2 linked regions of the Sus scrofa genome follow. The protein of the gene in region 1 interacts with the protein of each later gene in a pairwise test. Links are inferred from orthologs where the notes say so. Each region holds a gene or a part of one and is shown in the gene's direction. Other genes may lie near its edges.

Region 1 (3,500 bases):
GCGGTTCCCTGGGAGTTTTAAAATCAGCTTGTCCGTCTCTGGGTAAAAGATGGTTGGAATTGTGGTAGGAACTGCACTGAGTATCTCAGTCAGCTTGAAGGGTGTTGCCGTCCTAACAGTCTTAGGTCGGCTAATTTTGAAGGTGGGGTCTCCTTCCAGTTATGTTAAGTCTTTGATTTCTTTGCAGCGGTGTTGTGTAGTCCACAGCTCTGGTTATATATGCTTCTAAGTATTTTATTCCTTTTGACACCGTCGTGAATGAAATCAGTGTCACTTTTAGACTGTTTGTTGCTAGTGTGTTTAAACACCACTGACTTTTATTTGTTGATCTTGTATCCCTAACGTTGCCGAGTTCATTGATTCATAGGATTTTTTGTGGATTATTTAGGTCTTTCTCTTTTTCTTTCTTTCTTTTTGGATAAAGGAGAAAAAGATAGCTTTATTGCTTTGCCAGGCAAAGGGGGCCCTGGCAGGCTAACCCTTTAAAGCCCGCGTGTCCTGTTTAGGATTTTCTATGTGTGCAACCGTGTCATTGAAAAAATAGGGAGTTTTGCTTCTTCCCTTCCAGGTGGGGTGGTTTTTATTTCCCTTCTTGTTAAATGGCTTCCAGTACTGTATTGAATGAGATCAGCAAGAGCAGCCGTCCTTGTCCTGCTCCTGCGCTTAGGGAAGCACCCAGGTTTTCACCGCTGGGTGTGATGGCAGCTGTGGGTTCCCCACAGACGCTGTTTATCAGGCTGAGGGAGTTCCCTCTACCCGTGGCTTGTGGAGTGTTTTCGTCATGCGAGGGTGTCGGGGTTTTCGGTTATCCTTCTGTGTCCGTGGTGTGAAGGGGTGTTTCTTCGCTGCCTTCCGCTCGGGCGCCGTCTCCTTGGATGGGTCGCCCACGTTGAACCCCCCTGGCGTTCCCGGGCTAAACCACGCTGCGCCCTGGTGTCGAACCCTTCTAAACACTGCTTTTCTGGCTCCAGTTTGTACTTATTCTGGAGTGTGGTGTGGCGAGTATAGTGGGGGGTCGTTGGGGGGTCGGGTTTGGGGAACCCATCTTTAACGCTGTCCTCGTGAACGAAAGCCGTCCGTCGTCCCTCTTCTCCCGACTGGGCGGTGAGACGCCTCGGTCCCGCCTGAGGTGCAGGCGCGAGGGGGCCTCTTCCCGGCTGTGCGCCCACCCCCCACCCCCGCCCCGGGTCATCCGGCCTCCCACGCTCGCCCTTCACCCCATGGCTGGAAATGTGGGTTATTTCCGAGTCTTTCATGTTGGTGAAGGTGCTTGTGGCTAAGTCTGCGGGACTCTCCTCATTGTCATTACGAAGACGATGCTGAGTTACGGCCACACCCACGGCACACGGAAGTTCCTGGCCCAGGGACGGAGCCCAAGCCGCAGCTGCAGCGGAGCCGCTGCAGTCGGATTCGGGAGCTCCTGCACTGCAGTGGCAACGCCTCACTGTTATTTCGTGGGGCCGCTTCTTAGAAGCACTTGCCCGGTTAAGAAAGCTGCCGGATTTTAGGGCTTCTCGTGTTCCTGAGGATTCTTGCAGAGAGGTTTGTTGGGGGGTGTGGGGTGTGCAGGGGCCAAATGCACCCTGGGTTTAGGCCTCTTTCCTCAGATGAACAGGGCTTTTCACCCACAGCGTCCCCTGCAGTACACGTGGGGCCTGGTCTCGCAGCTGCTGGTGCCGCTTGATCTTTGGCAGTGCCCTGGGTGCCTGAGGACAGTCAGGTGCGAGAAGGAACCGAATCCTGCCCGGGAGGCGTCTGAGGCCAGCTTTGTGCCCCCCGGGAGATGACGAAAATGCCTTCTTTTCCTCACCTTTCTCACCCCGGATCCGCGCCCAGCAGCTGGTGCCCCGTCCTGGAGCGGATGCCCTCGAGGCTTAGAAGGGCTTCCTCCCGAGATGGTGGCGGCTCGGAGGAGATGTGCGGGTGGTTCCTTTGTGTCGCGATTGGGCAGAGTGAAAGGTCGCCGCGCTCTGTCCTCACACCTCCTCCTCCTCCCTCTGTTCTGGTGTCCACTTGGTTTCACGGATGCCTAGAAGCCAGGGCAGCCCTGTGCACACACGCGGACACACGCGCCTTGATCGCCCGTTAGTGTCTGGGCTCCGCGTCTGCCAGGAGGCCGTGGGAGCAGGTGGTTCTGATCACAGGGTGGCTGCCAGCCCCCTCGTGGCACTAGCCTGGAGGCTGGGGAATGGCTCCCAACACCTGGCCCCTGGGGTACCCGGGTCTGTCCTGAGAGTGGGAGCCTGGTACCTATGCATGTGTGTGCACACACGCGTGTGCATATGTACCACGGGTGTGTGCGTGTGCACACGGGTGTATGTGCTGTGTGTGCGCGCGTGCACATCTATGCATGATTGTGTATCTGTGTGTATTGTGTGCACATCTGTATGCACGTGCGTAGAGGTGCACTTGTGCATGTGTGTGTGAGAGAGTGTGCACGTGTGTGCTGTACATGTGTATTTTGTGTGGGTGTGTGCACGTATGCCTGTACACATGTTGGTGTTTACATGCGTGTGCACACGTGTGCCTGGGTTTGTGCATGAGTGCATTCATATGTGCCTGTGCTCAGTGTGTGGGCGTGTTCGGGCATGTGCAATCTGTGCACGTGCATGTGGCTGCCCTTGTTCCCCTGGCCATCCCTCTCTTCCGGGCAGCGCCCAGGCATGTCGACTGGCCTCTCATGGGCCCTGGCGGCCCGTTTCTGAGTCCACACTCTGCGGTCCCCTCTGCAGGTTCTCCCACGGGCAGGTGGTCTCTGTGGACGAGCTGCGCCCTTTCCAGGACCCGGACCTGAGCTCCCTGCAGGCCGGCTCTGCGTGTCTGGCCAAGCAGCAGGATGGCCTCTGGTACCCAGCACGGATCACTGGTGAGGCTTTCCAGGGGCCTCCCTGATGGGGCTTTTCCTGGGAAGCCCTTGCACATGTCACAGTGTTAGTCCCGGGTGCCCCCTCCTGTCGTTGGGCATTGGGACCCCACTCCATGCCCAGGAGGAGCAAGGCCACCCTTGGCCTCATCCCCACCCTGTTCCCAGTGTCCAGTGTGGCTCCTACCACGAGTCAAAGCCGCTGACCTGCTGCCTTGGTGCCCCTCCAGATGTGGACAGTGGCTACTACACGGTCAAGTTTGACTCTCTGCTGTTGAAAGAGGCCGTGGTGGAAGGGGACAGCATCCTACCCCCACTGCGCACGGAGCCCACGGGGTCCTCTGACTCAGACAACAGCGACGCGGACGACCCCAGCTATGCGCGAGGTGTGGCTGCGGCTCGGGGCCCCAGAGCAGGGAGGTGGGGTGGGACTGCGTTGGCGGGAGGAAAGCCCCGCAGGCAGGCGTGGGGGGCAGGTCCGAAGCCCCACAGACGGAGAAGCCCAGAAGGCATGGGGTCCCACACGAGCCACGGGGGCAGGGGGCGCATAGGAAGGGACCGGCATGCGTGACGCGCAGAGGGCGCTCCTTCAGGGCCTGGGTGCCTGGAGGGTGGAGGAGGGGCTGTGTGCAACAGC
Region 2 (3,981 bases), on another chromosome or scaffold:
AAGGAGCACGTCCTCTGGCCCCTCGGCTTTGCATAGACACACCCCAGAGCCCCTTCCCCGGGGCTGAACCAGCCCTTGTGTAGCTTCTGATCCTCAAATCCATGGGCATCCACTGGGCGTTGTCCCTGCTTTATGAAGAAGCAGAGTCCCAGAAAGTTGTAATAAGGCTGAAGCAGAGCTAGGATTTAAAAAAATGTATTGGGAGTTCCCGTCATGGCGCAGCAGAAATGAATCCGACTAGGAACCACGAGGTTGTGGGTTCCATCCCTGGCCTCATTCAGTGGGTTAAGGATCTGACGTTGCTGTGGGCTGTGGTGTAGGTTGCAGACTCAGCTCGGATTCTGCGTGGCTGTGGCTGTGGCGTAGGCCAGCAGCTGTAGCTCTGATTCGACCCCTAGCCCGGGAACTTCTATATGCCGCTGGTGCGGCCCTAAAAGGCAAAAAAATAAAATTAAATTAAAGAAATGTTTACTATTGTTGATTTACCATGTTCCACCGATTTCTGCTGTACAGCAAGTGCCCAGTTATACGCATACATACATTCTTTTCCCACATTATCCTCCATCAGGTTCCGTCGCAAGTGATCAGATGCAGCTCCCTGTGCTGTGCAGCAGGATCTCATTGCTTATCCACTCCCAGTGCGACCGTTTGCATCTACTAACCCCAAACCCCCAGTCCCCGCCATCCCCTCCTCTTGGCAACCACAAGTAGAACTAGGACTCGAACCAGGACTGTCAGGCAGGTAACCAGGTCTGGAGGCAGCAAGGTTGCCCAGGGCCTGAAGGATGTAGGTTAAAGGTCGTGGGAACCTTTTGTGGCTCCTCCAGGCAGGCCGAGCTGTTTTCACCTGCTCTCTGCACCCATAGGCTCACACCTTCCACTTTCCACGGGTCTTGAATTATTGATCTGCCTGATATTTAATACCCCCTGGACTTCCCTCAAGAGCTGCCTCCTAAAGCAGAGCCGTTCTTACTGTCAGCCAGGTTGGGATGCTCATCCAGGAGTGGCAGGACCAGCTTGGGGACTGCCCTGGGCTGCCAGAAGGCTGCCAGGGTGGAGAAAACACCGTTGGAGAGGAGGGACTGGACCCAAGACTGTGTCCCCCCCCACCCCTCTGTGCCCATCCTTGCCCGGAGCCCTGTGGTGCCACTGGCGGGGAGGCTGAGCGTGGGTGTCTCCATTGGTTGGGACAGCTGCCTTCCCTTCAGCCTGGGTGGAACCTCGGATGCTGGGGAGGGTGTCCCTAAGCACGGGTGGGGGCCTTGGCGTAAAGTTTGCTTGTTGCCTCTGTGAGAGTTTTTTTTTTCTTTTTTTAACTCTTAATTGAACACATTAACACCAAACGCACAGGTTATGAGGGCACACAAACTCAAGAATCCAAACAAGCCAAGCACACTGTGCAACACAGCTCCGAACAAAGGGCATCCCCCGCTCTGCACCAGCGGCCAGCGGCCTCGCCCGGGATGCCGTGTCGGCCTCTTCTACGGCTGGAGGAGCCACGCTGCAGGGAGAGACGCCCCACGTCCTGTGGGCCCGGGCGTTCGCCCCGCGGTAACTGTGCTCCAGCCCACGTGCAGCCCCAGGACCCCCACGCCCCTCGCATCCCGGGCCCCACCGCTGCCAGGTCCAGTCCCGCCCCGCCCCGTCCGGAGCCACCAACAGCCCGGGGCTACGAGGCGGGCGGGATCGCGGAGTCCCGCTGGGCGAGGGAGGACCGTCCCTGCGAGGAGCCTCGGCCGCCGCCCGTCCACCCCAGGACCCCGGGCCCTGGATAGTCCGAGGCCTTCCTCCCTGGGCGGATCCGCCCGAGTCCGGTGGGAGGAGGGGGCGGGAGGAGCCCGGAACCCGGCGCCGGAGCTCGCGTTTCTGGCCGGCGGGACCCGAGCGCTGCACCGAGCGCGCCCGGACCTCGGCCGACGGACTCAGGTCACCATGGCAACGCGGCGGGACCAGAGGCTGCTCGCGGCTGGCGTTCCGGGTGAGGCGCGGGCGCGGGCGCGGGCGGTGCAGGGCTTGGGGGACCGCAGCGCGGGAGGGCGCGGCCTCTCGGGCCACCTGTTGCGGGTGTCGTGCTTTCCTTGGAAAACCGGAGTCGTGCCGGCCCACCGTGCGTGGCTGGGTGCGCGATTGGTGCTGGCCTGCGGAGCCCTGTTCACCGAGCTAGGGCTGTTCCCTGCTCATCTGTTCCCTGCAGCGCCCGGCCGGCCGCCGGGGTCGGGGCACTGGAGGCGTTCGTGGGCGTCGCGCTTTGTTTTGGGAACTCGCGGTTCCCTAACTCGCCCCTACCAGGTGCCTGAAGAGCGGGGCGCTGCGGAGCCGAGAGGCTTTGCCGGGTTCCGCAGCGGGTTCCGCAGCCGGTTCCGCAGCCGGCGAGCTCGGGTCCAAGGCCAGGCAGGCTGGTCCAGAGTGATTCTTTGTTATTTGAGACTCACATACAAGTTGCAAAAGTCTAAATATACAGGATTTATTCAAACTCAGCAGTTATCTTGCGACGACTTTACCTGTTTACAGAATCCAAGCTAGGACCATCCGTGTTTTCTTCGTTTTCTCATTCCTTAATCTGGAGCAGTTGCCCAGTCTTTCCTTGACCTTTATGAGTCAGTTGTCTCGCAGAATGCTCCTCACTTTGGGTTTATCAAAGTTCCCTTACGATAACTTGTATTTTTGGTGAGAAAAACCTTACCAGTGGAATGGTGTTTTCTCTGCACCCTCTCAGGAGGCACATGATGCCAGTTTGTCCTATTACTTCTTTTAAAATGATTTTTATTTTTCCCGTTATAGCTGGTTTACAGTGTTCTGTCAGTTTTCTACAGCACATCAAAGAGACCCAGTCACACACACATGTGTACTTTCTTTTTGTCACATTGTCCTCCATCCTAAGTGTCTAGATGTTCCTATTACTTCTGATACTAACTTTGGTCCTTTGTCCTAGGTGATATCTACAAGGTGTTTGCATCATTAAGCTTCCATTTCCCCCTTTATCTATAGTAAATATTTTGTGGGGAGATACTCTGAAACTATGTACATAGCTTGTTTCTAACCACACTGCCAGTCATCTGGAGGTGAGCATTTTCTGAAAAAAATTATAAATGTACTTGCCAGGCGATGATATTTCCATTCACATTATTTCTTCTGCTTTTATTAGTTGGAATCTTTTTCTTTTTTTTGTCTTTTTAGGGCCACACCCTCAGCGTGTGGAGGTTCCCAGGCTAGGGGTCAAATCGGAGCTACAGCTACCGGCCTGCACCACAGCCACAGCAATGCCAGATTTGAGCCACGTCTGCAACCTACACCACAGCTCACGGCAACGCCGGATCCTTCACCCACGGAGTGAGGCCAGGGATCAAACCCAAATCCTCATGGTTCCTAGTCAGGTTCATTTCCGCTGAGCCATGACAGGAACTCCTATTAGTGGGAATTCTACCGTAAGGACGAATCTTCCATGTTTTAATTTATTCAGTTGTTTATGTTGGTGTAGACATTTTAATTCTATGTTTGTTTCACAGGTTATAATCCATTCCTATCATTTATTTTGGTGCTCTTGTTGTCCAGATCTGGCCCGTTCTGTTTGGTTTTTATGTCCTTTTACCCTGTGTCCTTGTCCCCAACAGTTTGAGCACCTCCTCATGTTTGACACCAAAAGATGTCCCAGACTCATCAGTGCTTCTTTGACCTAGGCTGGAATCAGGCATTTCTGTGAGGAGTGTTGGCTCCTTTTAGTTGAGAAGGTGTTTTCCATAAACCAAGATGTGGGGAGGTGTGCTGCTGGAGTGTCATTGCTTTTTGGCTTTCTCGGCGGGAGGAGCCGGGAGCCAGGACACTGCACGCCCTGTATATACATCTGTATCTATTTCTAGATCCACATGTCAGCGTGTGTTCAAAACTGGGTTTAGGAGTTCCCGCTGTGGCTCAGGGGTAGCGAGCCCAACGCGTATCCATGAGGATGCAGGGTCGATCCCTGGCCCCACTCGGTGGATTCAG

What was found.
Region 2: the proteins of ZGPAT (region 1) and CCDC57 interact in binary tests that used the Homo sapiens proteins (3 or more experiments, as listed by UniProt). The two-hybrid records come from large-scale screens. The link is inferred for Sus scrofa from reciprocal best matches to the Homo sapiens genes ZGPAT and CCDC57.

The regions. Positions count from the first base shown.
Region 1 is NC_010459.5:62,647,488-62,650,987, forward strand, and holds part of ZGPAT (zinc finger CCCH-type with G patch domain-containing protein), read left to right. Parts: intron 1-2,732; coding exon 2,733-2,866; intron 2,867-3,093; coding exon 3,094-3,249; intron 3,250-3,500. UniProt on the Homo sapiens protein: Transcription repressor that specifically binds the 5'-GGAG[GA]A[GA]A-3' consensus sequence. Represses transcription by recruiting the chromatin multiprotein complex NuRD to target promoters.
Region 2 is NC_010454.4:818,153-822,133, forward strand, and holds the start of CCDC57 (coiled-coil domain-containing protein 57), read left to right. Parts: upstream 1-1,181; 5' UTR 1,182-1,353; coding exon 1,354-1,978; intron 1,979-3,981. UniProt on the Homo sapiens protein: Pleiotropic regulator of centriole duplication, mitosis, and ciliogenesis. Critical interface between centrosome and microtubule-mediated cellular processes. Centriole duplication protein required for recruitment of CEP63, CEP152, and PLK4 to the centrosome.